Linked DNA regions of Lonchura striata. The protein of the gene in region 3 interacts with the protein of the main gene of each other region in a pairwise test. Links are inferred from orthologs where the notes say so. Each region holds a gene or a part of one and is shown on either strand. Other genes may lie near its edges.

The links.
Region 1: the proteins of rho guanine nucleotide exchange factor 11-like (region 3) and PLXNB1 interact in a two-hybrid assay, tested with the Homo sapiens proteins (2 studies listed by BioGRID). The link is inferred for Lonchura striata from reciprocal best matches to the Homo sapiens genes ARHGEF11 and PLXNB1.
Region 2: the proteins of rho guanine nucleotide exchange factor 11-like (region 3) and PLXNB2 interact in a two-hybrid assay, tested with the Homo sapiens proteins (2 studies listed by BioGRID). The link is inferred for Lonchura striata from reciprocal best matches to the Homo sapiens genes ARHGEF11 and PLXNB2.

What each region holds. Positions count from the first base shown.
Region 1 is NC_134614.1:15,163,475-15,173,722, reverse strand, and holds the start of PLXNB1 (plexin-B1), read right to left. Parts: upstream 4,642-10,248; 5' UTR 4,558-4,641; intron 1-4,557. UniProt on the Homo sapiens protein: Receptor for SEMA4D. Plays a role in GABAergic synapse development. Mediates SEMA4A- and SEMA4D-dependent inhibitory synapse development. Plays a role in RHOA activation and subsequent changes of the actin cytoskeleton.
Region 2 is NC_134607.1:30,341,775-30,352,141, forward strand, and holds the start of PLXNB2 (plexin-B2), read right to left. Parts: upstream 4,642-10,367; 5' UTR 4,520-4,641; intron 4,209-4,519; exon of another isoform or gene 4,125-4,208; intron 1-4,124.
Region 3 is NC_134635.1:3,775,020-3,785,879, forward strand, and holds the start of rho guanine nucleotide exchange factor 11-like, read left to right. Parts: upstream 1-6,842; 5' UTR 6,843-6,879; coding exon 6,880-6,911; intron 6,912-10,860. Other genes in the region: ETS translocation variant 3, read left to right, coding at 63-1,114. UniProt on the Homo sapiens protein: May play a role in the regulation of RhoA GTPase by guanine nucleotide-binding alpha-12 (GNA12) and alpha-13 (GNA13). Acts as guanine nucleotide exchange factor (GEF) for RhoA GTPase and may act as GTPase-activating protein (GAP) for GNA12 and GNA13.

The sequences.
Region 1 (10,248 bases), on a different chromosome or scaffold from region 3:
ACTCAATACCACATTATGCTGAGATAAGCTGACACACATGTTTTTTTCACTGAAGCTCAGAAGCACTGCCTTTAATTTCAGAATCAAGGAAAAGTGCAAAGAGAGGGAGAATGGTGATGACTTGAAATTGTCTGCACCTGCAGATACAAAGCAAACCATTTAGTCAATACCTTACAGCTGTGTGTCCCAAGGGCTCACCACAGATTCTATGTGGGTATCTGGAGCAAGTGGTGACACAATTCCTAAATTCCAGTCCCCAGTACAGAACCAGCCCAGCTAAACCACCACCAGAAGCAAAGATCAATTCCCTTACAGCCTGTGACACAAGGACGAGAGACTTCCCACATGGGATAGACCAGGAATAGATACAAGTAGCAAGATAAAATTACAGCATTCGGATACTTCAAGAAGGGAAGTGAATTATCATTTTCCAAAAGGGAGTAGCTATGAAGTTGCAACAATTTTGAGAGCAGCAGCGCTGGTGTAGAGCAGAGGCTAGGGAAACTCAACATTTCCAGGCTGTTCCACAGTTAAACTTCAGAGCCAAAAGCAAAGCAAAATCTCACACGTTTTCCAGGCACAGAAGAAGTGATTCTAACAGTACTTGCAGCTTTTATACTGCTATCACATCACTAAAGTTCCCATTCAATTAAAGTCTGCAATCTGGACATTCCCTTATGATCTGTTTCATTCAAAGATTCATTTCACATTTTGATCAACATCTAAAATGAGATTATACTACCATAAATTTGTTTTCTACTTCCTTTACCCCTCTTTTTCTTGCTTGCGATCGGCAGGCAGGACTTGAAAGTGAAGGTCTAAAATTAAATTCAGGATATTAGAAACTATTTTAAAATTGATTCAATAACAAAACAACACAAAAATAAACAAAAACAAGGCAAAAATACAAAACAAAACAAACTAACAACAAAAAAATTTACCTAAACTGAAACCATTTGTTTCTTCTTTTTTCTTTCCCTCACAAGCATTGGGAGGCAGCACTTAGTTCTAGCTAACAAAAAAAAAACAACCCTAAATTGTTTCCTGGAACCTCAGAATAGCTCAGATGTCTTAGTTACTACTTGGCAGAAAAAAATTATTAGCAGTGAAAACAAGTCCTCTGCATTTATTACTTAAGCAGTTGGGGAGAAGAGGCAGAGAGCTCATACCAAAGCACTGTGGTTCTCCCATTAGTCAGGGCTGCGTGTTGGTACAGGTTGGAACATCCTCCTTCGTGTTTTTGCACCTCTGCAGCTTAGCAAGTCTGAGCTCCAACTACAACCCCAGCCAGCTTATTAAGCAGGGGAGCATCTCAGTTATCGCTGTGGCAAACCACAGCACGCAGGCTGATTCTTCATGGTTCCAGAGAAAAATGCAGGTAGCAAAACCCCCTCCATGCTGATTTTAGAGAGTCTCCCAGATGCAGTGTGCCACCAGGAAAGGTCCTTTGGCTTTTGCCACTGTGCTGGAGTAAAGACAGTGCAACACGTGAGTTTACTGTTTCCCAATTAAATTAAGCATCTACTCTGCTTTCCGGAACAGTGGTATTGTGTCACGGGACTGTGCACGTGCTCCCACTGCCTCAATCACTTGTTTCTGAAAAACACATGTAAGAATTTATAGGAATTGTCTTCCAGCACTGAGATGAAACCAGACAAAGCTCAAATAATGATCAATATGAATCTTCTCTAAAGACATCATCACAACCATCAGGTCAAAGACGCCTCCAGTAACAGGACAGGGAAAATGATACCAGCACAATGAAAGACCAGCTGGCACATTCCCATAAAGGCAAAAGCAGCCCTCCTGTGGTTTTCATGAACAGCAGAAGATGAATCCTTTCAGATACAGTAATCCTGCAATCAGATACTCACAAGAACAACAAATAAATGCAAATCAAATCCAGGGCTTTAACAGATTATAGGGAATGCAAAGGAGAGTCAGTAGAACACACCAGATCCCAGCACGCAGAGCACAAAGACGTTTCACTGAAGATCCAGGTGAGCAAAAAGGGCACCAGTCCAAGCCCTGCTTCCTGAAACTAGCTTGTATCTAGAGGGCTAATTCTTACAAGGAAGCAGGCAGGCTCATGCCTCCTCTGCCTGCTACCACCCTGCACAGCCTCCAAGCTGGGATGAATCAAAGTCCTATCATCTTCCTCCAAGATGCCCTTATGCAAGTTTGGGAGGGTTCAGCTCACAACTTGGCTACAACAAACAATTTGAAGTTTCAGGAGGAAAAAAACCAACAGCTACAAACAAAAACAGAACAGATGGAGAAGCTGTCAGTGAGGAGAAGAAACTGATGTCCTTGTGAGTTTGCTTTGATAGGCAGCAGGAAGGACAGAGACAGAGAAAAAGATGAGAGAAGAGAAATAATGTCAAACTACCCAATTCAGCAGTAAAGCTTTTACCAGAAAAAAATGTCAAGTATTTCTGGGGAGTGGCTGCTTCATCTTCTTCTGAACTTGTCCTCGTCTGTTGTTCTCCCTCTCTAGCAGACACTGAAACGTACACTGAAAAAGACATCATGCTTCCCTATACCCATCTTTGGCTAAAGAAACTCTCCAGAAATCAAACAGCAAGAGTGGAAGACAGAAAGTGCAATTACTTTTGTCTTCTATTGGACAGCGCTGGATAGCACACACCCCACACAGGCAACCTGGGTGGGTGCTTTTTCCTGCAGAGCACACCCAACAAACAACTGGCACTGCTTAATCTGGCAGGCAGCCTCTCTGCAGGCTCACGGGGCCACCTTCGGCAGCAACAGATACTTTTCAGACTCGTTTAGTCCCTACAGGCTCCGCTGGCATCGCCAGGAAAACCCAAGCGTGCCAGCAGCAGGAACACTCCAGCAACAACCCAGCTTCACACAAAGACTGGCACTGAAGGGAACAGCTCTGCACACTCATTACAGCCCTCTGTCAGCTATTCCCTCTGCCCTTATATGGGAACATCCCGTGGCCCCGCTGGGAATATGATGCTGTTGGTGGACATGAAAGGTAAGGCAATACCTGAGCTGTCAGCAGGCGAGGGCAGAATTTTTCTGTTCTGAAAAGCAAGCAGAGTCTTGGAGCCTGAACTCTTTACAGCATTCACATGAGAGAAAGCAGAGATTAAAAGTGTCAACTGCTGACAGTCTGCACCCACCTTTCTCAAGGGTTATGCTGGTGATTTTAATCTTATTAAATATTGTTAATCGTATTACTAACCTAACTCTTTTCACGTGTTAGGAAGAAATTTAAAGAGAAAATTCCATATATGACTGCGCTATAGTAAATGCTTTCTGGCCAAATCTCAGTTCAGGGCAAGTCCCTGGCTTACAGATTCTGGCTCAGCTGTACACAGGTGTGGATGTGCATAGAAATAGTCTGCTCCGCACCAAACTACCTACAAGTCACCTTCTCTGCCAGATTCTTCTCAATCCATAACTTGTTTGCTCTCTTCTCCTGCGATTCTGCTAGGCATTGCTGGCCTCTCAAAGTGACCTTATTAAAACCTGTGAAATTCCATGCCCCATTTGTAGTAAGGGGAAACACCAATTTCCCCATTACAATGCAAAACATCTCAGTGCATCAGCTTCCCCTTGAATCAGGGGGAATGCTTCCATCACTGGCTTAGCTCCCCGATGTCACACAGACACATCATTAACATAAGTCATCGATTTCTGCATTTCATACACAAGGCAGAGCACTTCTGTGATCCCTGTTCAAAAAGTGAGGTCACAAATGAGCACATCACATTCAGCCTTGCACAGAATAGAGCACTTGTTTAAGTAAAATACTGACCCCGCTGTTTTACAACACGCAGGGTTGTAAGCCCCTTCCTCTTTGTAACTAGAGCAGCACTCCACATACTCTCCCAGGACTACTCCTGTTCCAGACTGCTCCCTGAGATAAAACAGCAGTCACAGAAAGTTTAGATTTAAAAAAATAAAGATCTCAAATTGCAACTCCTGGAACACAAAACACACCTGCTCAGAGGGGCCCAAACACTTGCTGCAAACTCTTTCGAAAGGAATGCGCTCAAGGTGGAAAACGAGCTCTCCGACCGGCAGGAATTACCCAGCAGTGCGCACCGAGGAGCGGGGCCGGGGCCGGGCAGCTCTTCCAGCGCGGCCGCACGGGCTGCCCGGCGCGGTGCCGCCTCCCGCCGAGCCGTCCCCGGCCGCGGGGGGCTCGCCCGGTCCCGCTGCTCCCCGCATCCCGGCACTGCCACCGCCGCCGGAGGGGCTCGCCAGCCCCGCCGCCCGCTCCTGCTGCCCCTCCGGGCGCGGAGCCGCGGGACCCCCGCCCTCCTCCCCGCAGAGCCCGCCGCGGGGGGCGGCCAGGAGCGGGGAGTTTCCCAGCCCACCGGAGCCCCCTCGCCCCGCCCGGGAGGCGCCGCCGCTCCGGAGGGGCCGCGCCCATCCCCCCACGCGGAGACAAAGCGCGGTCCCCGGGCGGCACCTGCCGCCGGCCGCTGACCCCCGGCAGCGCTTCCCCGCTCCAGGCCGGGCGCGGCGGCAGCAGCCGCCCACTCTCCCCTGCCCGCGGCCCCGGTGCCCGCCGCCCCTCACCTGCCGGGCGGCCGCCCCGCTCCGCTCCCGCCGCCGAGCGCTGCCCGCACCGAGCCGCGGAGCGCCCGCCCCGCCCGCTCCCCGCCGGCCGCCCCGCCCCCGCCGCGCTCCTCCAATAGCAGCCGCCCGCTCCGCCGAGGCCACGCCCCCAAGGCGGCCCCGCCCCGCAGGATCCGGCTGCCCCCTCCCGGCACGCGGCCGGCGGCGAGACCCCATTGGCTGGCGCAGGGAGGGGGCGTGGCCAGCGGCCGCTCCGCGCCCCGGGCCGTGCCCGGGATCCCCGCGCCGGGGCCGGCGGCGGCCGGGGGCTCCCGCTGCCGCCTCCCGCTGGGGATCCCGCCGGGGATCCCGCTGCCGGCTCCCGCCTGGGGCTCCTGCTCCCGGCTCCCGCCGGGGATCCCGCCGGGGATCCCGCTGCCGGCTCCCGCCTGGGGCTCCTGCTCCCGGCTCCCGCCGGGGATCCCGCCGGGGATCCCGCTGCCGGCTCCCGCTGCCGGTTCCCGCCGGGGCTCCCGCTGCCGGCTCCCGCCTGGGGCTCCTGCCCCCGGCTCCCGCCTGGGGCTCCTGCCCCCGGCTCCTGCCGCCGGCACCAAGCGAGGCACGGGCACCGACACTGCTCCGCACGCTGCCGCCACAACCAGCGGCGGCTGCCGGCCGGCCCGAGTGCACAGCGCTGCGCCAGAGGAGTCCGCGGCGCCGCGGATGAGAGCTGGGCATAAAGCTGCGTATTTTGGAAGAAATGGCAGCGTTTGTCTCGTCTCCGCGTTTGTAGCAATGTGACTTTGCAGTTAGGCTCTCAAGCCTTTGTGCTCGGCTCTCCCCAGCCGAGAGGTGCGGGTGAGCTGCAGCGGGCAGGGGCACAGGGAGCAGAACCTGACAGCAAACCTGACAGCAAACCTGACAGCAAACCCAGTTTGTCCCCCTACACACACAGCATCGGGAGGATGAGGCACAGCCCAGCTCCCGTTTGCAGCGCATGTGGGAACCAGCACATGAGCGAAATGGAAGAATGTGACAAAAGCATAGTTATCTCTAGTTGCAAAACAGCGAAGGACATACCATTCCAGCTGAAAGTCGGTGGAGACAAAAGCACCATAAAGCAGAAGCGCCTGAAGTGATATGTGTAATATAAACTGACTGCTGGTTTTGTGATTTTTATTCCTGTGAAGCTGGAAGCTCCAGTTATGGGCAGAGCAGAGGCTGGTGCTCTGTGTAAGAGACAAAGGCATTACTTACCGCTGAGAACTGACTGCATAAAATCCTCTCTCTGAATTAGGGGTAAGTTCTGTCAGTAACAGTTCTACAGAGGGACAGAATTAATGCTCCCATTTTTCTCACTCACACTGTAACTTCTGTGTTTCCCAGATGTGCTGTACTCTGCTGTGTTGTTGATCAGCGAATATACAGTTAGTCTAACAAATGACTTGCTATACATGCAGTGACTGCCTGTAAGTACTTGTCATTTGCCTGCTGAGCTGACTGCCAGATGTTTGGCAATCCCAGACAAAAGATGGAGTTATGCCTTAAGCACCCAGCCACAAATTTTGTGTGGATGAAAGAAAACATCTCTGAGGATGTGAAGAAGCGATTCAAGAGCTGTAGGTAAAAGGAAACTGAGGAAGAGTGCACTGGCCTGGGTTGTGCAAAGTACAGAATTTGCCTTATGCTGGGGTGCCCATCACTTCTCCTTTTTGGCTGTAGATGAAGCTACAAATCTCCATTGAAGACATAATGCTGCTCTGAAAGTCTGAATCGGTCTTTCCTCCCACGTTCATTTCTGACATTTCAGAGGGACGTAGTTGGTACAAATCCCACGTTCAGAAGTGTCATTAAACATCTACTGTCTTTGTTACAATACATCAGTCTCTCTTACTCCCAGCCCCCAAATTTTATGAAGGAAAAAATATGTCTGAAAGCTTAGAGATGCTGAACAATCCCCAGGATCTGGCAGCATGATCATGGTCTCCCAAAGAAAGGATTATTTCAGAGGCAACTACTGGCTGCCTCTCTGGACCTTTGCTCCTTGGCCCTTCAATATGCTGAAGAGTCCTTGGAGCATGCTGTATGCAGAGCCCATGAGGATTCCCCTGAGGAGATGATCCCTTACTTGTTCTTCCCCCAACACAGAAAAAGCCATCCTATTACCACACCCTGCTCACTGAAATGCTCTTTAGCTTAGAGCTCACTGAATTATCATCTCACCAATCAGACACAATTTAACTGCACTTAAAATGCATCTGCCAAAATCCAGTTTTGGTGACTAAGAGCATTAAAAAAAAAAAAAAATCTCCTAACTTTTCTTTGCTCCAACCCATTCCTGACTCAAAACACTAATCTGCTTTGTGCATTTTCTCCAGAGCCAGTCCCAACCTGCAGCCCCTTCTGTCTGGTAAAAAACATCTGCAAGCTTCACTTAAAAAACAGCAAAACCCCCTATGAGAGCACATTTGAAAGGAGAGGCTTTTCCTTCTGTCCCATGGCAGGGTTGGCAGGGAACTGGATATAGGGCCTGCCTTGGGAGCAGGGCAAGAAGAACTCCTGTGCACTTTAGGGATGTTACAGTGCCCCCCTCCCACCCCTCCTACAGCCCTTCTGAGAGACAAGGGTGTTGTAAAACCACTGTGGGATTAACCATTCCCCCTTCTGGGAAGAGTTTTTATCAGTCTGCACAAACATTTTGCAGTTCTTAAAAAAAAACCCCAAACAAACCAATCAAACCCTGGAGGAAAAGCTATTTCTCAAACATTATACAGCTGTGAAAATGGTGTCACACAAAGAACAAACATTTTGAGGAACAAGTGAAAAAATTTTTTCTTTCCATTTGTTCAGGTTTGTTTTGTTGTGTTGCTTTTAGTATATTTAAATCCCTAAAGGATCCTTTTCTGTAAAAACTCTTGTTAATGTCTGGTTCTAAGCAGGTTAGCTAAGTTTGTTTCATAACTATTACAATAATCACAAGGCAAGCAGCTGCTTATGCTCCTTTTGATTTCCTTCCTACTCTTCCTCCCCTCCAAGCAGGAGATGAGACAAGTTTAGAAAGTCACAAGGGATATGTGAATACTGTCTGTAGCTTCTGGGAATGAAGTGTATTTAGAGCAGTAATTCAGGGACCAGCTGAAGGTTAGCTACATCTACCCTACTTCATATCTGACCCCATTCCTTTCAAGCTTTCAGTTGTCAGAATATTTAGAAACAGCATTAAGGTATTTGTTATGGTGATTTGGGTACCTACAGATCTGCTGGCAGCAGCCTGTTGATATTTAAGGATCTGATTTTGAGTACAAAAAATAGCCAACACCCCAGAACCTGCAGGGATAGAGCAGGAGACTTTGAGCACACACATATTTGCATGGGTTTGCCTTCTCCCTGCAGAACACAGCAAAACAAGCTTGGGACGCTTGTGGCAATCCCTTTATCTTGGAGTTCTGCTGCTGTGTTTAAGCAGAGACCTTCTCAGATTATCCAATGCCAAGCACCAGAAATCTCACTTCTCTGTGCTTTATGAGTGAGGTCATGAATGTAACTTGCTAGCAAAAATCCAGCAATAAAATACAGTTCTAAATATAATGTGGACAAATCCAGCATTGTCTGCCTTTTCTTAGCTCACAAACCTCATTCCTACAGCAAATCTCAAACCTCTTCCTGAGGTAAACAGGACATCTCTACTACTCCTATGCTCCACAAAGAGGGAAGTATTTGTTTTTAGAGGGAATGTTGTAAAAGGAACTGTCTTTTCCAAACAAACAAAGAAATCAACAGGAGCACCTGCAACTTCCGACCAGGATCCTACAATGTTGGAACATTCAAACTGGAAGTATTAATAAATAAATATATATCCTGATTGTTACATTACATCTGCTTTTGTCCTGTCTTCTTAAGCAACATTTTCTAGTTCTCTCATGAGTGGAAGGAAGGGCAACTTTTCTCTTCAGAATGCACCTACTGTTAGAAGTCTGCAGTGACCTCATTCAAAGTTATTTCCATAGCCACAAGCTGTTTGCTTTTGAGTTACTGGTGGTTTCTCAAGGAGCAGTAAGAACCCAAAATAGCTTAGCACAGGCCAAGCTCAGGCCACTGCCACCCATTTTTCTATAGTTAATATCTATCAAAGGGCTTCCTGTTGCTCTTACCAGGTTCTCCCTAACTCAGCTTCTGTGTCTGGCCTGACAGAGGAACTAATCTGAATGAGCACTGGCTTCCTCTGACCTACCCACTGCACCCAGGTCAGTCCCTGGCCTCACCAGTCCTGTACATAATTTTGCAACCACCATCCCCCTCGGATGAGCACTGGGGCCCAGGGCTGGCTGAACCATCCTGCCTAGAGAGGTCTTTGCTCACAGAGTAAGAATTCAAGTCTCAAAAGGCCTTAGCAAGCAGAAATTACTAATTGAAGAAAAGATCTGCTGAGAGACCTCATTCCAAAAGGGAAACTCAGCTATCTATTATAAACCTTTTTAATAACCCAAAGGTATGCAACAGAAGAACAGAATGCAGGTTGGTGTGTGTGTTGGGGTTTTTTATTTGTTCTGTTTCTTAGTTTTTACTAGAATAGACCTGAAGAGCACAGGCATTCAGTTAGTCCTGGCTGAATCATCAGGAAACATGCACTGAGATGTCATGTGCTTGTGTAAATCTGCTATAAATGTACTTGAACTGAGGTGAGTGCCCAGGTAAATACCCCCTACACAGCTGTGCTGGTTTTGTTCAAACTCATGTATTTGCTGCCTGTGTTACCATGACAAAGATTTAGCACAAAGTACTAAACAGATTATACATCTAGTCCATGTTATAGCATCTTCCTGGATATTGCCTTCAGCCAGCTCAGGTACAGCTGCCACTGCTGCAGCCACACCTTCTGGCTTTGGGGTGCACATACACTGCAGTACCAAGCTACACATTTAGATCTTTGCCACAATGGAGTGATGATTAATCCAGGATTGAGGGAATACATAAATCTTGTCTCCTAATTATTATATAGTCACAGTTAATTACAAGGGTTTTTCCCTAATTGAAATTATTCTGCTGTCACTTCACATAGGAGGATTTAGCAAGGAAGAGCAGAACTAAGTGAGCCATGGTAATTACTTGTAACACAGAACTCAGCCAGCTGCACACAGGATCTGTTCCTGAGTCTTTGAAACTTCCTACAAATGACCAGTTATTTTCATCTTGATAGATATACCTTCCAGCTCTTCTCAAATTTCAGGTGTTATTTCAAACAATCATTTATTACAGATCTGTTTGCTACTCTTCATTGACTGTTCATAACAGTCCTTGACTGACTTTTTCTTCCTGTAACTATACATAGAGTTAAAGCTACAGACCTTCATAATACTCTCTTTAAATGGATAAAAGCAGATTTCTTTAGAGCAATAAACAGCCCTCAGTTTTGTATTCTCATTTATTGTACACAAGTTTAGCCTCAGACCTCTGCTTGTTTTTGATGCCATCAAGTACAATTCAGTGAGTGCTCCTTGACTTTCAAGTTTAACTGCCTAACCTTCAGCATTTAAAACCCGTGCTGATATATATAATCCACATTTTCAGTGATGTCAAATAAAAAAATCAGCCAGTTATAGTAAGGGGGGCCAAGTTTATGTAGTTAAATTGACAAAATATCCCAAATCCCAAGCCAGAACAAAATTTTCAGTGACTAGTGTGGCAAATTACAAATAGAACCATTGTACTAGT
Region 2 (10,367 bases), on a different chromosome or scaffold from region 3:
ACAAAGGTGGAGCAAGGTCAGAAGTGTTTCAGAAGGTTCCAGGTGGACTCTGTCCCCTGACGAGTACTGAGGCTGACGAGCGTGGGGAACTCAGCATGGTGCTAATCATCAATCCGTGCTGGCGCCAGCTCCCAGAAGCTGAATTCCAAAGAGAAACCAAGTGTCCCTAAAAGCACGTGGCTGGTGACCACAGCTCTGCTGACACATTCCTGAGGGCAAACTCTGTCCTGTACTATGCTGGTGTAAAGCTAAGCAGTAGAGCAGGGGCTGACCATCGTGGTGATGCTGAGATTTTTTTAATAATTATTAGTAACATTTATTAAGTACAGACACTTTTAGACATTACAAGAACAAGTAAGTCTTCCCTCAGCCACCTGAGATGGAAACTCGGAGAGCTCCAAAAGTTATATATTTCCAGAGATTAAACTCCAGAGACAATAACAGAAATACTTGAGTTTAGCAGATAACTCAATTCCTATCTGCCTAAAGAAAGTAAGCCCCAAGTCCACAAGATCCCCTGAACAGCTTTCCAGTCAGGCTGGCTGCACCAGGGCTTGGGCAAGCATGTGTCCTCTCCCTCCTCCAGCCGTCCTCTGCTGCCTCCAGAGCAGCAGAGGGCAAGGACTCCAGGCCTCTTTTTGTAGCCAGATTTTTATAGTTTTATAAAAATCAGTCTTATCAGTTTTATAGACAGAGACCTTTTTGCACTGTTAAGCCACTTAAATAGACCCTCCATGATAAGCTGAGCTTAAAAATTTCCTATGGTGCATAAGAAAACCTGCAAGAAAAGCCAAAATAAATATCCACTACTGAGTTGAACAAAAAAGTAAAAGTGGAGGAGTAGGAGGGATACCATATCGAGGTTGTTTGTTTACTTAATTTCATCATAATTATTTAGACTCTCATCTCACTAATAGCTGCACAGGTGCTAACTTTACTTCAAGAAGGACCTAGAGTTTTTGTTTGCATAAATCAAGTACATTTAATCAAGTGCACATTAGCTCATCAACACATTGGATCTGATGAGAAATTGCATAAGTGACAATGCCAAGATATTTCAGTGAATATTCATGATATCTCTGTGGAACAGGCTGACTGGAGGAGAGTGAGAACAAAATGACAGTAAAAGAACGGTAGCAATTACTTTTCTAGCAGTTAATGTTGCCATTAACTGCTTGCTGGCAAGAGCTTGAAGTTGCAAACCCCAATTTCAGCTTGTTACCTTAATTTTACAATTGTAATTCAATATTCTGAATGTGACACCAGTGCAACAAATATCTTCATTCAGTGCTTCATACAATAAATAATTTAAAACTATATGAAAATTTCCAAATTATAGCCATTACAAAAATATAAATGCTTAGTATTACATCTTCATAAAAATAAATAAATAAACGTGCAAATATTTTTCTCAAAACTGAGCCAGCATCCAAACCCATTTGCAACAATTTTTTTCTTAACAGGCATTTATGAAGAGGTCTCCCTTCAAAATGTAATTTGTCCTTAGTGATCATCTGCATGCAAAGCAAACAACTCCGAGTTTTATAAAGCCATACAAAGCCTTTATCCAACTTCCAATATCATCTGTAGAAAATTCAGGCAGAGTAATGCCATGCCCTTAGTGAGGATATTTTACATAACAAGTCCTCAAGTCAGATAAACAAAGAAAGACTTTGATAAATCAACAAAAAAACTTGGATCACTTTCTGATTGCTAGACTGGAAGAAGGAGAGGAAGAGAGGGCTGTTCAGGTACACCATCTACTACATCCTTCTGAAACCCAGAACCTTGTGTGCTGCTCACCAACCAACGGAGGTCACACAGCCTCTCCTTATGCAGAGCTGCCTCCCCACTACCACTGCCCACCAAGGTCTGGTACAAGGAAGGTCACTGGGCTCACACCTGCTATTTCAGAAGAATTTAGATGCCTATGGACTATGCTTCACAACTGCAGCTCAATTCAACTGACCTCAAGTGTTTGCTTTGTCCCTCTGTCACAACAGAGAGATATACAGGAGATTTGTGTTATCAGACTTCACAACACTAATATGAATAGCCATAAAATATAGTTGACATTCATATGCCTGTCTGTAAACTCAGATTCAAAGTTAAATAGAAAATAACCCTGAATGGCCGACTAACCTCTGGCAAAGGGACAGGATGAACAGCTGAATGCATCAGCTTCTGGAGCAAATGTCAGAGTCAAAAGTGTATTCATTGTGCTATCCTTCCCATGTCTTTGACAATTCAGGAGTATCAAAGAAGACTGTTTATCAACATTGTTGTAACAGACTATCACAAGCATCCAAAGTCTCAATAGCCAATTGCAAATTTTTGGGGTTCATGTTACTACAAAACACATTTTGATAGGTTGACCATAGCTTCTTACAATAATCTCAAATGATTTAAACAGCTTTTGGTACCAGAAGCCACCATTCAAACTCCTTTCCTAAACACTGACACCATTTCATTTCTGTATTTGTTAAAGTCATATCTTTTAAGAAAGACTATTTTCTACTTCACAGGCAATCAGACTAGGCTTTAGATCCACAAGTGTTCTAGGTAAGGAGGACAAGACAGGCTACTTGGAAGTAGACTTCCTTCCTTCCTCCCTTTTGTTTTGGCTGGAAGCATATTCTATTCTTGTATATCGACTGTAGGCAGCAGCCCCTGTACCCAGGTGTGTTGGATCTGTCTCACAACCTGAGAGGCAGGCAGGGCATTAAGCATCAGCCCAACATGCATGTATAATCTCACTCCCTAGCAAATAGTGAACAGGTCTCCCAGCTGATTTGCATATAGCATGGTACATAGTTGTTGCAAGACCAGTTGCACATTTTAAGCTTTGGAGGGAAAAAAAAAAAAAAAAAAAAAAAAAGAAAGGAAGAAAGAAAGAAAAAAAGAAGATTTTTTTTCAGGCCAGATTTAGAATCGATGTCTTCTGAAAAGAACTGTTAAGAAAACTGAAGTCAATCCTAGGTACATACCAGCAGCTCATTACTTACCAACCTTTACTTCCTCCTAGATTCCATTGTAATGAGAACATAAACAGTAAAATAAGCATATATCTCCCTCGAATGAATTACCTATTCAGAGTTCCCTCTGGTGTTCAATAAGCTCATCATCACATTCAAGGTAACAGCCTTCATTCCAAAAGCGTAAGTTCCTTTACGAGCAAGTTATCATTTGATGACGAGCTCAGCAATAAAGACAGGACCATAGTGTTGTTACTCATAGAGAAAAGCAATATTATTTTCCATCAGAGAGGAGATAAAGATACACTTCCTCCTTTGTATATTCAACCGAGTGTCTGATTAACCTCGAAAGGACCCAAAGTGTTAACTATCCCTTCTGCCTCCCGATGTCACCAAGACCGACGAAATCTCGGAGAAGGCAAAGTCACAAATTACAGGTACAGCCCATCTGAACGCAGCACGCAAAGATGTTCTGCACCTCCCGAATAACTATGCCTTGAGTCACAAGCCTTTCCAGCCTCGCACTCCCATTCGCCTCCACGGAACATGAGCAAAGTACAGTGTATCTAATTAACAGTTTGGAAAGAAAGTTTAAAGCTGCCTCTGCGAAGAGACAAAATGCGTTTGCAGGAAAATCCCAAACGAGTTCCCGAGTCGGCAGCGCCCAGGCGGAGCGCGGGGTGGGCGCCGGGCCAGTGCCAGCCGCGACATCGGGGCTGCTGACCCCGGCCGCTTCGGGGTTGCGAAACTCCCGGGAAGAGCAGCCAGGCTCCATCGAGTGGGGCGGAGGGAGCTCGCCGGACACCGGCGCTCCCCGGCTGCCGGCCGGGAGGAGCAGATTCCCCGCGCCTCCCCCACCTCCCCGCCCTGCACGGCGGCTGAGAAAGGCGCTCCGAGTCCAGAGCCGCCGCCCGGGAGCCCCTTTAACCAAAACCATCTGGTCGCGGGCAGCGCGGTAGAAAGCCCCATCCGCCCCAGCTCTCAGCTTATCCCCGGCCCTGGCCCCGCAGCCGAGGAGGAGAGAAGCTGCTCTAGCCACAACTCAGCAGCTCCCGAGCTGGGGGAGACAGAGGGAAGTCTCCGTGGAATCCGCCTCCCCCCCTCCCCGCCCCATCCCGCGGCGCGGCGGCAGGGCTGGGGCTGCGTTACCTTCAACAGGTGCAGGCGCCGGCGGGAGGCAGCCGCGGGCGCGGACCGTCCGAGCTGCCCGAGCGGCAGCCGCGGCCCCGGCAGCCCCCGGCGGGCGGCGGTGGGCTGGACAGAGGCGCTACGGCAGCCCCCGGCGGCCGCCCATGCTCCCGGCGGGCCCCGCCGCCGCCGCCACCGCGGCCGGAGTCAGCGCGAAGGCGGCAGCGGCTGCGGCCACCTCCGAGAGGAAGGACGAGAGCGGCGGGGAGCGAGGGAGGGGGAAGCAGAGAGCGAGAGGAGAGAGAAACCGCCCCGAGAGAAATAATCATCACACGGCGGTCACGATCCGCCGCCGCGCCCCGACAGCCAGAGCCTACGCTTGGGAGCCGGGGAAAAGCTGCGAGGAGGGGACACACCTGTAGGCGCAGCACATATCCGCTGTGAGCACAATGCGAGACAGGAAACTGAAAAAAACAGCCCAGGGAAGGAGAGAGGCTCCCGTTCGTCCCTCCTTCCCTCCCTCCCTTTCTCCCTCCCTCCCTCTCTTTCTCCCTCCCTCCCTCTGTCCGTCCTCCTCCTTCTCCTCTCTCCACCCCCTGCCCCCGGTCAGGATCCGCTTGCAGCGCTGTCTCATGCAGGGAGATCCAGGCAGAAGGCTGGGAGGCGGCAGGAGCCGCACTTTCTCCCCGTTTTCCTTTCCCTGTCTCCGCTTTGTTTTGCCCGCCAGCCAGGCAGAGGCCAGCTCGGCGAAGCGGGGCCGAATGCTCCCGGAGAACCGGGGGGGCTCCGAGCCCCAACGGGGGACCGGGGCCAGGCCGGGAGCTGCAGCTCCAGCGCCGGGGGCACCGAGCCCCGGCCGCCCGGGGGCCCTCGGGGTGAACAGCGGGGAGCGGCGGGACGGCCGGGAACTGCCTCTGGGCAGCCTCTGCCCGCGGCCGGGGTCGGCGCTCGGCCTCCGCGGCGCTCTCCGGCGGGACGGCGGTACCGCTGGGAAAGGGGCTGCCTGCTGCTCTGTACCTAACAGCCTTGCGGGACCTGTCGGATCCCGGTGGTGTTCTGGGGACGCTCCTGAACACGAAGGCACATTGTAATTCCCATCCCTTATCCCCCGAGCAGAGTCTCTGAGCACCCAGTGGCTTCCTCCCTTCTTGTACACCCTTATCGATGAGGGGCCCAGAATATGTCACTGGCATCACTTTTACTGAACTCGAAGTACTCTAGGGTTTATCCCTATAGGTAAATCCTCTGCAAAAACAATTTCTGCACGTTCTCTCTCTGCTCAAGCACTCTACTAAAAAGCCTGTGTGCAAAGTTTTCATGCCTTCCCCCAGAAACAGATCAACAGTTACTGCAGAGCTCACTTCCCACCTGTTGTGAACGCAGCATCACTGTGCTATAGCATCATCATCTGCACGTTCAGATGTTAAATTTGTCTCAACTATAGCTAATGTAGAGACAATCTATTGAAAGGAGGGATGTCTTAGAAGAATGGCTCAGGTAAGCTTTGGTCAGGATGTTTATACTTTGTAACTTTCCATCAGTGAAATGTGGACCAGCAATGTTTCAAGGAGAAATGAATTTACTGCTCTTGGCACTTTGAGTGCAGCTTCATTAAATGCTGTGTGCGTTGTGCTCCCTACTAAAACACCAGGAGACAGCCGGTCTATACGCCGTGCTTCCCAAACAGGAAGTTGCTGAAAAGTTACCTTTGCATCTCAAAACAGCAAGAGATACAAAATAAATAAAAAACAGCTCCAAAACCCTGGGCAAGAATAGTTGCACTTTTGGAAGAGATGTTAAAAGTGGCTTTCAGACCCTGTCTGTGCAAAGTGCCACTGCAGACTTAACAGTGGGTTGGGACTATTCAAACATGCCATAGAATTTTGTGGGGTTTTCCCTTTGGGCTTGCACAGGGGAGGCAGGCTGTGCTGGGTGAATTTTGCCAGTCTGGCCCAGTTATTGTGCTAACCTCCACCAGAAGGCCCTTGTCCTTTTTTATTGGCTTCCTTCCTGCTCTTCACCTGACTGGGCTTAGTCACTGCAAGATAAGAAAGAACAGGTCTAGTGTTTCAGAAGGTCTGGATTCCCCTTCTGTACCTCTTCACTTACTGGAAAGGAGAGAGGGAATCTGAAGAGGGAGATGGGACTTCCCTAGGAAAAGTGAATTAGTCATGTCCTGCAATTCTTGTGAGGAATCCAGTAAGGAGAAACTCACAGGCTGCTAATGGGCTTGGTAACACCTGACTTTCCAGGCTGCTTTCACAACATCTGGGCTTCTGGCCAGATTGTACCCTAAGTTTTGGCAGAATGCCCTGGAATTACCAGCCTGGCAGCTCTCTTTGTGCCCAGGGCAGTGAATCTCTGCCTTCCATCATGCTCTGCCCCAGGGCCTTTTGCTGGGGTCTCTGTCACTCCTCCCCCTACCCTGCCTGCTCCAAACCTAATGATCTGCTTTCCCTACTCTGGGGAAAACCCCACATCTGCTCCATCTGATGACCACTGACCAGGACTGTACTTGCCACACTTTTGCTGTCTCAAGGTGACTGTAGCCAAGTTAAATCTAAGCCTTGCCCCCCTCCCAGCTCACAACACATCTTCTCGCCAGAATAGTTTCCTCCTGCTCCTGTTCAGCTCCTGTTGCTCTGGCCTCCTGACAATTTTTATTTTTTTTTTTTAATTCAAAGGAAGGGCAGCTCCTAACAATCCCTTGCTGTGCACCTGACCTTGCAAGTGTGACCGGGATTATGAAACTGATCTAGATCTTGAGGTGGCCACACAGCATCCCACCCCAGGATAGCCATCTTCTTTGCTAACCCTCCATAAGCTGCTGTTCTGCCAGGCACATTTGGATGTCCTAAGCAGCAGTGTGGCATATTGACTTGCACTTCTGCCAGCTGGGACAAAAATGTGCACCACAGCACTATGGTTAGTGAAGTCCATGCTGAATTCAGCACTTGGTCCACTTGCAAAGATGGTCTTCTGCACTTCCTTTTCTTGCAACCAGCACACCATCCTTCTGACCCATGGAGAAGGGATACAGGGAGATATTCTCCAGTGAACCTAGATAAACAGCTGCACATCAAAACCTGCTATTTGTGACTGAAAGATTGATTCCCTCCCTTAGCATTATCCAACAAAAAAGAAAAAGAAGAAAAGAGGTCACATCAAATCCTAAATGCGGAGATGCTTAGAGAAGGGCAACAAGTAAAGGACTGAATGATTAACAGCTTCCCAGACTCCTGGGGATCTTCACTGCAGTCATGCACATGCACAGGGTGTGACTCAGGGCAGAATGCTTTGTTCCCTCCCTCTCCAGCTTCAGGACACAGATGACAGAGCTGTGTTTGAATAGAACTCTAGTCTAGATTTCAATTTCCTCTTTATTTCCTTCTTCTGCATCCCGTCTGTCTCTCCTTTCTTTGTTATCACCCATTTGTTGTTACGTGTATCCTCATGATTTTTTTCTTTTTTTTTTTTCTGCATGTTATTTTCTTTTGCACTGAAGGTGACACCTGTGCCTCTTCCCTGCCTGCTTCTCTTCTTTGTGCCGTCGGTTCTGAATCTTTTCCAAGATGCAGCCATAGATGGAATCGTTCCTACTGCTGAGACCTTCAAGGCCTGTGGAAAAGAGCGGAATTTTCAGCTGCTATCATTAAAAAACACCTTGTTCCATGATCAACAGAGCTAATGAAGCCAGGTTTCCTGTGGTCTCGTCGCTGACCCACCCGCTGCGATGGGCTGGTCTCCCGTTTGTGTTCCGTGTCCGAGGTGAAGCGCTCCTCTCTGCGGTCCGGAGCGCCGCGTGCTGCCCGCGCCGCGCCGCGCCGGGCCGCGGCTGCTGCCGAGCACCGCCCCGAGCGGCCCCGCTCCGCCTTCACCTCTCCCTGCTGGAACACTAATTTGAGCCTCTAGTCGCTGATGCTCACAAATCCCTAGGAACTTAATTATCTTTGAGGTTCCTACCTCTTTTATTCATTTGTTTGCAGCTAGCCAATGTGTTCTGACATTTTTATGAGGGGCTGATGGGCAGATAAAGAGTCAGATGATTGATTATCAGTCTTTAGGAAGGAAGGCTGTTGCCCTGTGGTCATGGAGATAACCTGGGAGCAACCAAAACAGCTAAAAAAGAACATAAAATCCTTTCTAAAGTTTTGGAAATTGCACTTTCTGTGCAATTTTCAAAATTGCACGGAAATTACATCCTGCTTGGGGATGTCCCATGTCTCAACTCTCTTCTGACGGGTGAGGGGGAAGAAAGGGGGAAAAAAATATTCTTCATTAAGCAGCAATTCATCAGCTGTACTGGGCAACCATTGAGATTCAGCCTGCCCTAGCACTCCTGCTGCCACCATCCTTTGTAAGAAATTTTTATCAATAATGGGAAAGCAAAAAACCACAAGAACTAGGATACTACCTGAATGGGTTTAGTCTCATGGCAAAGATATAAACAGAGCATCTGTAAGGATTTTTCACTCTCCATTTGATGTCTCTGGTTTGGAGAGGGCATTGCATCTTCTCCTAGTGACTGAAAAAACCCAAATATACATATTTATATTTTTACAGTCCATAAATCACCATGGGATCTACTTTTTCTGTATAAAAATGCCAGATAAATCTAAGGTGTTATTATTAGATTTGTGAAATGTCACTGTGCACAGCCTGATTTTCATGCCCTTTGCACCAAGCTCACATGGCAGATCAATTTGTAAATATCTGGGGTTATTCTTTGCTTGATGGATTTCTCAGTGTCCATTTTCCAACAATCCAGAAAAAAAAATGTTTAGGGGTGAAATTAGCTAAGGTTAACTGTGCAATTCCCTTCATGTTTTTTTTTTCCTTTGATGCTAGAAAATATTTGATCCACCCAGAGCAAGTGGGTTTTGGTATTTCTTAACCAACACTCACTTGATACATTTGTTTACTCCTGTGCAAAATTCTACCTCGTCAAAATTTTTCTTTTAGTTTTACATATACTTTTTATAGATATAAATTGTTGCACAAAGGTATGAGATAAAAAAGCAGCAGGTGCTCTGGATACAATTTCCAGGTGGAATCCAGAGAAAGCCTTATATGGATATGTGCAGTAGCTGTATGCATATGCATAACTATTACAAGTATCAGCCCTTGCAGTCAAGACTAGATGTTCTGACATTGCCCTGGTTGCACCTGGCTGTGTGTGAGCCTGATAAGAGATCCTTGGTTAATGAAGAGGTTCATATAGGCAATGCTTGCATTTTTTAAAGTGATCTTGAATTTTTGAAGACATTTCAATTTAAAAAAACTTATAATAATTAAAATTTTTAAGATTTTCCATCAGGAAGTTTATTGGTATTTCAAAAGTAGGTAAAATGAGAATTAATATAAAATATTAACAACAAATAAGAAATAGAAAAGGCCTTGCCATTTCATTCCCTTCTTTTGTTGTTTAAATAAGCCCTTCACAAACACACATACACACACATCTGTATGTATATAAACCGGACAAACCAGCATGTCCGACTTTGTTTTGCTGCCTAGCAAAACACTGAAACCATTGCTCTGCCATTCATTTTAACCAGAGCCAACATACTTACACTTGGTGGTATTGGTAATTCCACAACTGGTTAAAGAATTTGGATAAGCTATCTGCCAGGCATGCTTCTATATATATATTTATATTGTAGAAAAAATAATTATTTTTATAAAAATAATATCATTATCTACTAATATTTGAACTAATTTTATCACGGAGATGTAGCCTATGGGAAGACAATTACAAATAAGAGTTCACGATTACAGTGTTCTGTCCAAAAGTGGAAAATGAGATTTACCTCTTCTGTGCTGGAAATAATGCATCTTTTTACATCCGTAACCTCAAATATTGCATGATTAGTATCTTCCAAATGTATATTGCAGAAAATTTATGTTTATAGTACTGAAGTGTGTCTGAACTACAGTAGTTTAGAATGCAGCTTAAATAATCGGAGTTTAAGATGGTACAACAAGATTAAAGAAGCATTTGTAATTTAAAAATATTTAGACCTTTCAGAATTCGTCAAATGACACTTCAGTTAAGAAGGAAAATTAAACTATTGACTACTATGACAGAAGCTGTATTTTACCTTTTTATTCAAAGGAAGATTTCCAAGATAATATGTGTATTTTAAATGATGAGTGGAGCTTCCCTCATGTAATGGCAACTAATCAATAAATCATGTGCCATTGTTGTAGCTCAGCATGTCAAATAGCTGCATTTCAGTGTCCACACTTAAAGGTGTTGAGCAG
Region 3 (10,860 bases):
TTTCATCCAGCTCCTCCCCGATCCCCAGACGCTCAGTGCCTGTTTTCCCCGTCTCCCCGCAGGCGTGGTCCCGCAGAGCGCGCCGCCGGTGCCCACGGCCTCGTCCCGCTTCCACTTCCCGCCGCTGGAGCCGGCGTCGCCGGGCGAGGAGGCGGCGGCGCGCTTCGGGCCGGGCGCGCTGCTGCCGCCGCCGCGCGCCGAGGCGCCGCCGGACGCCGAGAGGAAGCCGGAGCCCGCCGAGCCGGAGGAGAGCGGGCCGGACTGGCGCCGGGAGCTGCTGGCGCCGGCGCACGCGGCGGCCGGCGGCGCGGCGCCCAAGCGCAAGCCCGAGGTGGTGCTGCCGCTGTTCCCGCGGCCCGGCGTGTTCCCCGAGCACCCGCACAGCCCCTTCGCCGCGTCGCCGCTGCCGGGCCGCCCCGGCGTGCTCAACGTGCCCATCTCGCCGGCGCTGTCGCTGACGCCCACGCTCTTCTCCTACAGCCCCTCGCCGGGGCTCAGCCCCTTCGCCGCCGCCGGCAGCAGCTGCTTCTCCTTCAACCCCGAGGAGATGAAGCACTACCTGCACTCGCAGGCCTGCTCCGTCTTCAACTACCACCTGAGCCCGCGGACGTTCCCCCGCTACCCGCTGGTGGTGCCGCCGCTGCAGTGCCCGGTGCCGCTGGAGGAGCCGCCGCAGTTCCCCATCAAGCTGCAGCCGCCGCCCGCCGGCCGCAAGAACCGCGAGCGCCTGGAGAGCCCCGAGGCCGCCGGCCCGCCGCGCGTCAAGGTGGAGCCGGCGGCGCCCGACAGGGAGGACGAGGAGGAGGTCCCGCGGAAGGAGGAGGAGGAGGAGGAGGAGGAGAAGGCGGCGGTGTTCGCCCGCCCGGCGGCCCCGGCGCGGGCGCCCGGCGCGGCTCAGCCCGGCGCGTGCGGAGAGGAGAGCGCCGAGAAGGCGCCGCGGGAGTGGCCCGGCGAGGCCGGCGGCCAGGAGCGCCGGGAGGACGCCCTGATGCCGCCCAAGCTGCGGCTGAAGCGCCGCTGGAACGGAGATTCCCGGCAGGAAGCGGCCGAGGATTCCCGGCCCAACGGGATCTGGCACCTGCCCAAAGCCGTGGCCGCCGCCTCCGACACCTAAAGGCGGCCGGAGCGCCGGAGCCGGCCGGAGCGGCGTCCGTGTATTTATGTAGCAAGGTTGCCGAGCAGTTCGGGGTCCGGGCGGGGAGGGGGGCGGGCCAGGCCTGGGAATTTTTAGGGAATTTCAGGGGTGGGAGAAGGGAGGGGGGTGCGGGAAGCTTCGGGCTTTGTGTTGTTTCTGTTGTTGACTTGCAGGTGCAGACGCCGCAATTCCCGCTCGCTTTTCCCGGGAAAAGCCGGCTCCAGCTCCAGGACTGGCGCGGAGGAATTCCAGGCGCGGCCTCGGGGCCGCTCCCGGGCCTTTTGGGACACCGGGAATCTCCAGATCCGGGGACAGGGTGGGGGGGGATTTTTTTGGGATTTTTCGGGGTTTTTTTACGGATGAGAGGTTTTCCCGGCCATCCAGGAGCTGGTTTGGTTCTTCTTTTTTTTTGTTTTGGTTTTTTTTTTGGTTTTTTTTTTGGGAAAAGGAGGAGCTTGGGAATTTTGCATCGGGAATTTTGCACTGTCCACGGAGCGGGGCTGGGGCGGGGGGGAAAAGGATTCAGGAAAACTCTCGGAGAATCGGGATGGAGGCCGCGTCGTTCCCGGCGGATTTCCGGGGAAAATTCCCCTTTTCCCGCCTTTCTTTCTCTCTCTCTTTCTCTCGCAGAAGCCATGAGCAAAACTCCAAACTTTTTCAGGGAATGGGAACGGGAATAACACAAAATTAACCGGATGCCTTTAATCCTAACGCATTAAAAATGTTGGGGTTTGGTTTTTTTTGTTTCTGTGTGCCCGGAGCGGGGATTTTTTTCCCGCTCCGGAATCCGTGTGGGTGGAATTTTTGGGAATGCTTGGAAGGAGCGCTGGAATGATTGTGGTGAGTCCCGGGAACGCCGGAATTCCCGGCGCCATTCCCAGATTTTTGGACCCTCCCCCCCATTTTTCTCCCCGTTTGACTCATGCCTTAAAGAAAAAAAAAAACAAAAACCAACAAACCACGTTTGGACTTTTTCTGGGAATTTTTTCCGGGAGCGCTCGGATGTCGTGGATCCTTCCTGGTTCTTGGGGGGAAATGCCAAACGCCGCCGTTCCCCCGCGCAGCAGCGGAATTCCGAAGGCTCCGGCTTGGCTCCCAGCGGGATCGAGCCTCGGGAAGCGCCGGGAGCTGCCCAGGATTCGCTCTCGGAGCTCGGATTTTGGGAATTCCGGGCTGGGGGAGGAAATTCCCCGCCGGGATCCCGGGAGCGATTCCCAGATCCCAGCCCGGCCGGGCGTGGGACCCTTGGAATGTGCAGTTGGGGTGGAGAAGCCTTGGATGATCCCAAAAAACGCGACCGGAGAGGCGCCAGGACGAACTCAGGAATCACACGAGGGGCCTTGCCCGGAATTCCCGCCGATCCCAAATCCCAGCGCCGGAACCGTCGGGAGAAACAAAAACAAAAAACGGGGGGAAAATCCCGGATTTTCCCCACCCCTCCTCTCCAGTCCTTTGGAATCGGAATCCCACGGGAAGAGAAGGAACAAAAAAAAAAAAAAAAAAGTTGGAATTTTTGTGGCTTTAGAAAAGGATTTTTTGGGATTGGGAGTTTTTTGGGAAGGGTGGGAATGTCGGGGTTTCCTGTCACAGCCATTGCACTGCAAAAAAAAAAAAAGAAAAAAGAAAACCAAGATGAAAAGTGGAAATGAAAATAAAAAACTTGGGAGAGTTCAGGGAATTCCGGACTCAGGACGACGGATCCGGCGCCTCTCGGGAATTCCAGAATTCCCAACGGAGCCCGGGAGGAGGAAAAACAACGAAAAAAAAAGCAGGAAGAGGAGAAGGAAAAGGTCAAAAAAAAACCAAAACAAAACGAACGGATTTAAAGGAAAAAAACCAAAACAACCAGATCAAAATTTTGTGGAAAAAAATCGGAAGTTTCAAGGAAAAATTCCTAAAATTCCACCGTGCCAAACCATTGAACAACAAACAAACCCTCGGGAAGTTGGGAATGGTTGGAATTCTCTCCCGGATGAATTTGCCCCGGAGCATGATCCCGTTTTTTCCAGCAGTTCTTTTTTTTTTTTTCGTTAATTTTGCTTCTTTTTCGTAGCAAATCCGTAGGAAAAATGTTTAAAAAATTAAAAAATTAAAAAAAAAAAAAAAGACTTTTTGATGGGACAGCCCCAAACGGGGGGAATTTCTGGGGAGGAATTTCCCCGGAAAAGGAGGAAAAATCCAACAGCATTAATGGGGTTGTCCCGGATTTTTTTATTTATTCCATAATTATGTTGAGGTTTTTTATTATTTTAAGCTGTTTTTCCGTTGGTTTCTTTCTTTTTTTTTGCGTCTCAGCATCCTGGTGGGATTAAAAAGAAAAACCCAGGAATTTTCTCTCGGTTGAAATCATCAGAACTCCGGAAAAACTTTGGATTTTCCGGGAAATACTTTGATTTTTTAGCGCTTTTTAAACCGATATTTACGCTTTTGTTTTCGGGTTGATAAAACCCCTTTTTCGAGGGATTTCGAGGGATTTGAACTCTCCCCGGTGGGAATCCGGCAGGAATCCTTCGGGAAAATCGATGGAATTTGGGACGGGGAGCGTGGCTTTGTACATAGGGTGTAAAGTAGAGGGGCAAAAAAAAAAAAAACAAAACAAAAAAAAAAAAAGACAAAAAATCCGAAATTTGTGCCTTTAAAATTAAATTCCGATTTCTATAAAAATCAGATTTAAGAAAGGGTTGCATATATATATTATATATATATATGATGGAATGCTAGAGAAATTTATGGATAATATACATATTTTTTTCCAGGGGTATCCCATAGCTCCGTATTTTGTTATGGAAGTTGAAAAAAAAAAAAAAAAAACACGGAAAAAAGGAAAAAAAAAAGCGAAAAATAAAAGTATTTTACCTCGAATTCAGAACGTTAAATAAAAACCTTTTAACAGAGAGGCGCCGCTGCTTTCTTTGGGGCTTCTCCCGGGGTTTGGGATTTTTGGGAAGGGATTCCCGGGATCCCGGAAATTCCCCAGCTCCCGCTGCTTCTGTCTTTGGGGTTTTTGGGTGTCACCAAACCCTCAGTGTCCCCAAACCCTCAGTGTCCCCAAATCTTTGATGTCCCCATGTCCCCAAGTTCTCAGTCCCCATGGGTGTCCCCAAATCCTCACTGTCCCCAAATCTTTGATGTCCCCAAATCATCACTGTCCCCAAATCCTCACTGTCCCCAAATCATCACTGTCCCCAAATCTTTGATGTCCCCAAATCATCACTGTCCCCAAATCCTCACTGTCCCCAAATCATCACTGTCCCCAAATCTTTGATGTCCCCAAATCATCACTGTCCCCAAATCCTCACTGTCCCCAAATCTATGCTGTCCCCATGTCCCCAAATGTTCCCTGTCCCCAAACCCTCAGTGTCCCCATGGGTGTCCCCAAATCTTTGGTGTCTCCAAATGTACGCTGTCCCCATGTCCCCAAATCTTCCGTGTCCCGAAATCCTCAGTGTCCCCAAACCTTCCCTGTCCCCAAACCTTCCCTGTCCCCAAACCCTCCCTGTCCCCAAACCTTCCCTGTCCCCAAACCCTCCCTGTCCCCAAACCCTCCCTGTCCCCATGGGTGTCCCCAAACCCTCCCTATCCCCAAACCCTCCCTGTCCCCAAACCTTCCCTGTCCCCAAACCTTCCCTGTCCCCATGGGTGTCCCCAAACCCTCCCTGTCCCCAAACCCTCCCTGTCCCCAAACCTTCCCTGTCCCCATGGGTGTCCCCAAACCCTCAGTGTCCCCATGGGTGTCCCCACACCCACACTGTCCCCAAACCCTCCCTGTCCCCAAACCCTCCCTGTCCCCATGGGTGTCCCCAAACCTTCCCTGTCCCCAAACCCTCCCTGTCCCTGTGTCCCCAAACCCTCCCTGTCCCCAAACCTTCCCTGTCCCCATGGGTGTCCCCAAACCTTCCCTGTCCCCAAACCCTCCCTGTCCCCATGGGTGTCCCCAAACCCTCCCTGTCCCCAAACCCACACTGTCCCTGTGTCCCCTCCCTGTCCCCGTGTCCCCCACACCCGAGGTCTCTCTGTGTCCCCGCGGGCGGGGCCGGGCCGGGGATCAGAGCGGCCCCGGGGCTGTGCGGGCTGAACGAGCCCGGGGGTTGGAGCTGCCCCAGGGCCGGGGTTGGAGCTGCCCCGGGCCGGGATTGGAGCTCCGGTGCCGGGGTTGGAGCTGCCCCAGGGCCGGGGTTGGATCTCCCGGGCCGGGGATTGGATCTCCGGGGCCGGGGTTTGGAGCTCCGTGGCCGGGGTTGGAGCTGCCCCGGGCCGGGGTTGGAGCTGCCCCGGGCCGGGATCGGAGCGGCCCCGGGGCTGTGCGGGCTGAACGAGCCCGGGGGTTGGAGCTCCGGGGCCGGGGTTGGAGCTGCCCCAGGGCCGGGGTTGGATCTCCGGGGCCGGGGTTTGGAGCTGCCCCGGGCTGGGGATTGGAGCTCCGGGGCCGGGGTTGGAGCTGCCCCGGCCGGGGTTGGAGCTGCCCCGGGCCGGGATTGGAGCTCCGGGGCCGGGGTTGGAGCTGCCCCGGCCGGGGTTGGAGCTGCCCCGGGCCGGGATTGGAGCTCCGGGGCTGAACGAGCCCGGGGATTGGAGCTGCCCCAGGGCCGGGGTTGGATCTCCCGGGCCGGGGATTGGAGCTGCCCGGGGCTGAACGAGCCCGGGGATTGGAGCTGCCCCGGCCGGGGTTGGAGCTGCCCCGGGCCGGGATTGGCGCTGCCCCGGCCGGGGATTGGAGCTCCGGGGCCGGGGATTGGAGTTCCCGGACCGGGATTGGAGCTCCGGGGCCGGGGATTGGAGTTCCCGGACCGGGATTGGAGCTCCGGGGCCGGGATTGGCGCTGCCCGGGGCTGAACGAGCCCGGGGATTGGAGCTCCGGGCCGGGGATTGGAGCTGCCCCGGGCCGGGATTGGAGCTCCGGGGCCAGGATTGGAGCTGCCCCGGGCCGGGATTGGAGCTCCGGGGCTGAACGAGCCCGGGGGTTGGAGCTCCGGGGCCGGGGATTGGAGCTGCCCCGGCCGGGGATTGGAGCTCCGGGGCCGGGATTGGCGCTGCCCGGGGCTGAACGAGCCCGGGGATTGGAGCTCCGGGCCGGGGTTGGATCTCCCGGCGCCGTGGGGGCCGGGCCGGCCGGGATTGGCAGCAGCCCCGGGCCGGGATTGGCGCTGCCGGGCCGGGGCTGGAGCTGCTCCCGGGGCTGGAGCTGCTCCCGGGGCTGGAGCTGCTCCCGGGGCTCTCCGCAGCCCGGCCCCCGCCGGGAGGGGCCGCGCCCCAGAGCCGGGCCGGGCCGGGCCGGTACCGAGCGCTCCCGGACCGGTACCGAGCGCTCCGGGCCGGTACCGAGCGCTCCGGGCCGGGGCTCGCTCCGGGCCGGTACCGAGCGCTCCCGGACCGGTACCGAGCGCTCCGGGCCCGGCACCGAGCGCTCCGGACCGGCACCGAGCGCTCCGGGCCCGGCACCGAGCGCTCCCGGACCGGCACCGAGCGCCCCGGGACAAGCACCGAGCGCTCCGGGACCCGCACCGAGCGCTCCGGGACAAGCACCGAGCGCTCCGGGACCGGCACCGAGCGCTCCGGGCCCGGCACCGAGCGCCCCGGGACCGGCACCGAGCGCTCCCGGACCGGCACCGAGCGCTCCGGGCCGGGGCTCGCTCGGGCCGGGGCTCGCTCGGGCCGGGGCTCGCTCGGGCCCCGCGGCCGCCGGGCCGGGGATGGTGGCGGGGCCGGGGCGGCGGCGCCGGGCCCGGCCCTGAGGGAGCCGCGCCATGAGCGTGCGGCCTCCGCAGGCCCCGGACAGGTACGGCCGGGGGGAACCCGGGGAACCGGGGCTTGGGGAAACCCGGGGAACCGGGGCTTGGGGGGGAATCCGGGGGAACCCGGGGAACCGGGGGGTTGGGGAAACCCGGGGGAACCCGGGGTTTGGGGGGAATCGGGGGAACCGGGGGGAACCCGGGGTTTGGGGGGAACTCGGGGAACCGGGGCTTGGGGGGAACCCGGGGAACCGGGGCTTGGGGGGGAATCCGGGGGAACCCGGGGAACCGGGGGGTTGGGGGAACCCGGGGGAACCCGGGGAACCGGGGCTTGGGGAAATCCGGGGGAACCGGGGGGTTGGGGGAACCCGGGGGAACCCGGGGAACCGGGGCTTGGGGGGAACCCGGGGGAACCCGGGGTTTGGGGGCAAATCGGGGGAACCAGGGCTTGGGGGCGAATCGGGGGAACCCGGGGCTTGGGGGGAAATCGGGGAACCGGGTCTTGGGGAAACCCGGGGGAACCCGGGGCTTGGGGGGGAACCGGGGGAACCGGGGCTTGGGGGAAATCGGGGAACCGGGGCTTGGGGAAATCCGGGGGAACCCGGGGCTTGGGGGAAATCGGGGAAACGGGGCTTGGGGAAATCCGGGGGAACCGGGGCTTGGGGGGAAATCGGGGGTTTGGGGGGAACCCGGGGGTTTGGGGCTGTGGGAGCGGGTGAGGGGTTTGGGGGGAAATCTGGGGGTTTGAGGGAACCCGGGGGTTTGGGGGGAAATCCGGGGATTTGGGGCTGTGGGAGCGGGTGAGGGGTTTGGGGGGAAATCTGGGGGTTTTGGGGCTCTGAGAGTGGGAACGGGGTTTGGGGGGAAATCCGGGGGGTTTGGGGGGAAATTCGGGGGTTTTGGGGTGAAATCCAGGGGTTTTGGGGCTCTGGGAGCGGGAACAGCGTTTGGGGTGAAATCCGGCGGGTTTGGGGTGAAATCCGGGGGTTTTGGGGTGAAATCCAGGGGTTTGGGGGCTCTGGAAGCGGGCGCTGGGGTTTGGGGTGAAATCCTAGGATTTTGGGGCTCTGGGAGGAGGCTCCGCTGCTCCGAGAGCTGCCAGGGCGGTCCTGCGGGGAAAAGCAGCAGTTTGGGGTGAAATGCCGGGATTTGGGGTGAAATCCTGGGATTTGGGGTGGTTTGGGGTGAAATCCTGGGATTCGGGGTGAAATGTCAGGATTTGGGGTGTTTTGGGGTGAAATTCTGGGATTTGGGGGCTTAGAGGAGGGGGCTCAGCTCATCCGGGACTCCGCACTTGGTCCCTGTGGTGTTTTGGGGTGAAATGTCAGAATTTGGGGTGAAATGTCAGGATTCGGGGTGAAATGTCAGGATTTGGGGTGAAATGTCAGGATTTGGGGTGTTTTGGGGTGAAATTCTGGGATTTTGAGGCTCTGGGAGGGGGCTCCGCTCGCCCTGTAGCCCTCACCCCATTCCTTAGGGGGAAAGACGGGAATTTGGGATAAAATTCCAGGATTTTGGGAATGGTGGGACTCAGCCCATCCCGTATTTCCATGAATCCCTCAGGGGAGCAGCGTTTTGGGATAAAACTCCCGGATTTGGGGAGTGGGGGGGAATATCCCGAACTTCCCTGATTTTTGGGATATTTCCAATATCCACCACCGGGGATTGGCTTTTTCCCAGTTTGTTTGGCTCCATTTTACACCAAATTTGGGGATTTTTTTTGGTGGGATAAACCCTTGGAAAACCCTGGAGCTTTTTCTGGGATAAATTCAGGAATTTGGCCGAGAATTCTTGGATTGGGATCTTTGCTCCAGCCACGGCATTTCCCACGTGGATTTGGGTGGGAAATGAGGGATTTGGGGGCCTGGGAGAGAGGCAGATCCCGGGAATTTCAGGGATCGTTTTCCCACCAGATCCTGGGGATTTTTCCTGCTTTTCCCAGCCCAGAGAATTCCAGGATTCCCTGGGCTGGTTCATTTGGGATTCCAGGGCCCATTCCTGGATCCTGCCCAGGTTATTCCATGGATTCCCCATCCCTGGAAGTGCCTCATCCCGGGGATTTCAGGATCCTCCCAGCTGCGAATTCTGCGGGAATGGGGAGAGGATCCCCCCGGGACAGGGAATTCCAGGAGCCGGAATTCCGGCCCAACCAGCTCTGCCACTTCCCACTTCCCCAGGAGCGGCTCCGTTAATCATTACCCCGCCGGGAATTCTTCCTGGAGAATTCCCGTGGAGAATTCCCGAAAAAAAACCCCGACCAACTGAAAAACAAAACGGGAAAAACTCCCGTTTTCCCAACATTTGGGATCGCTCCGGACGGTGGCGTTCCGTTGGGATCCCCTTCCCAAAAAAGGCTTTGGGATTCCCAGCTGGAAAATCCCATGGAAATCTGGGATAAATCAGGGTTTCAAGCGGGAAAAATGGGGAAAAAACCCGTTTCCCAACATTTCTGACCCCTGGCCTCCTTCCCATCTCTTCCCACAGCAGGATTGGAATTCCCAGCTGGAAAATCCCATGGAAACCAGGGATAAACCCGGGTTTAAAGCAGGAAAAATGGGAAAATATTCCCGTGTTTCTCCGGTCTCTCCGTGGTTTTCCTGGTGTTTTTCCAGGGAGAGCAGCGGAGCCGCAGCCCCCGGCAGGGAGGGAACCAAATGTTGCAAATCCGAGGAGAAATTCCAGCGGGATCCAAACTCCCGGAATTCCTCCCAGGACTCGGCGGCCGCCCTCGGAATGTGGGAAAGCAAAAACTTTCCCTGAGATCCCGAGTTTTTTGTTAATTTGGGAATGGAAGGCCAAAGTTGTGTGGGAAAGGGGTTTGGGAATTCGGGTTTGTTCCCGTGAAATTCGGTGGCGGCTCCTCGGAGATCCCGGATTTCCTGGGGGACATTCCCAAAAAACAACCCGGGAATGAACGGCAGGGTTTGGGGTTGAGGGAAGAGCCGGGAATTGCGGCTTTGTCCTGCAGCATTCCCGATAAAAACACTCGGGAATTTTCTGGGAAGAGCCCTCCAGGTCCTCCCAGCTGCCCCTGGAATTCTGCTTTTCCTTGGAAAGCCACGGCGTGGTCAGAAAAGTCGGAAAATGGGATTTCCCCCCTTTTTTCCTGCTTTCAACCCTGGTTTATCCCAGGTTTCCGTGGGATTTTCCAGCTGGGGATTCCAAACCTGTCTCCGGAGGGAACCCGGTGGGCAGAAATGTTGGGAAAAGGGAATTTTTTCCCATTCCAAGCTTCGGTTTTTTGGGAATTTTGAATTTTTGGGACTTGGGAAGGGAGAGCGGGGCTGGGTCCTTCCGGAGGTGCCGCTGGAATGGGAATTGTGGGAATTGCCCTGGCTCGGCCGCCCCCGAGGCAATTAAGGAGCTTTAATTAAGCCGAATTAAATGACTTTTTTATAGCCTCGTTAAGCCCTGGCTGCTTCCAGAGGGGCAGGAGAAGCCTCTGGATCCCTTTGGATCCCCTGGCTGGGATTTGGGCATTCCTGGAATTGCGGTTTTGAAGGAAAAGCGTCTCGGGAATGCCGCGGATCCCGGAATTTGGGGATTTTTGGGAAAAACAAGAGATTTTGGGTGGATAAAAAGGGCTGACCTGGGCTGGGCCCTGGATAATCCCGAGGGTTAATCCCGATTTTCCTGCGGATTGGCCGGGAATGTCCAGGGCAGGGCCCAGCTCTGCGGCTGCTCATGGAAAAGGGGCTGGAAAATCCTGAGGGGCTTTTCCAGGGATTTTTTTCCTTAGGGGGAGCTGATCCCGGAGAAAAGGGGGATCCAGGGGGAATTTGGGATCTGCCAGGGGAATTTGGGATCTGATCCCAGGGGGGATTTGGGATCTGATCCCAGGGGGGATTTGGGATCTGATCCCAGGGGGATTTGGGATCTGCCAGGGGAATTTGGGATCTGATCCCAGGGGGATTTGGGATCTGCCAGGGGAATTTGGGATCTGATCCCAGCGGGGATTTGGGATCTGATCCTGGGGGGATTTGGGATCTGATCCTG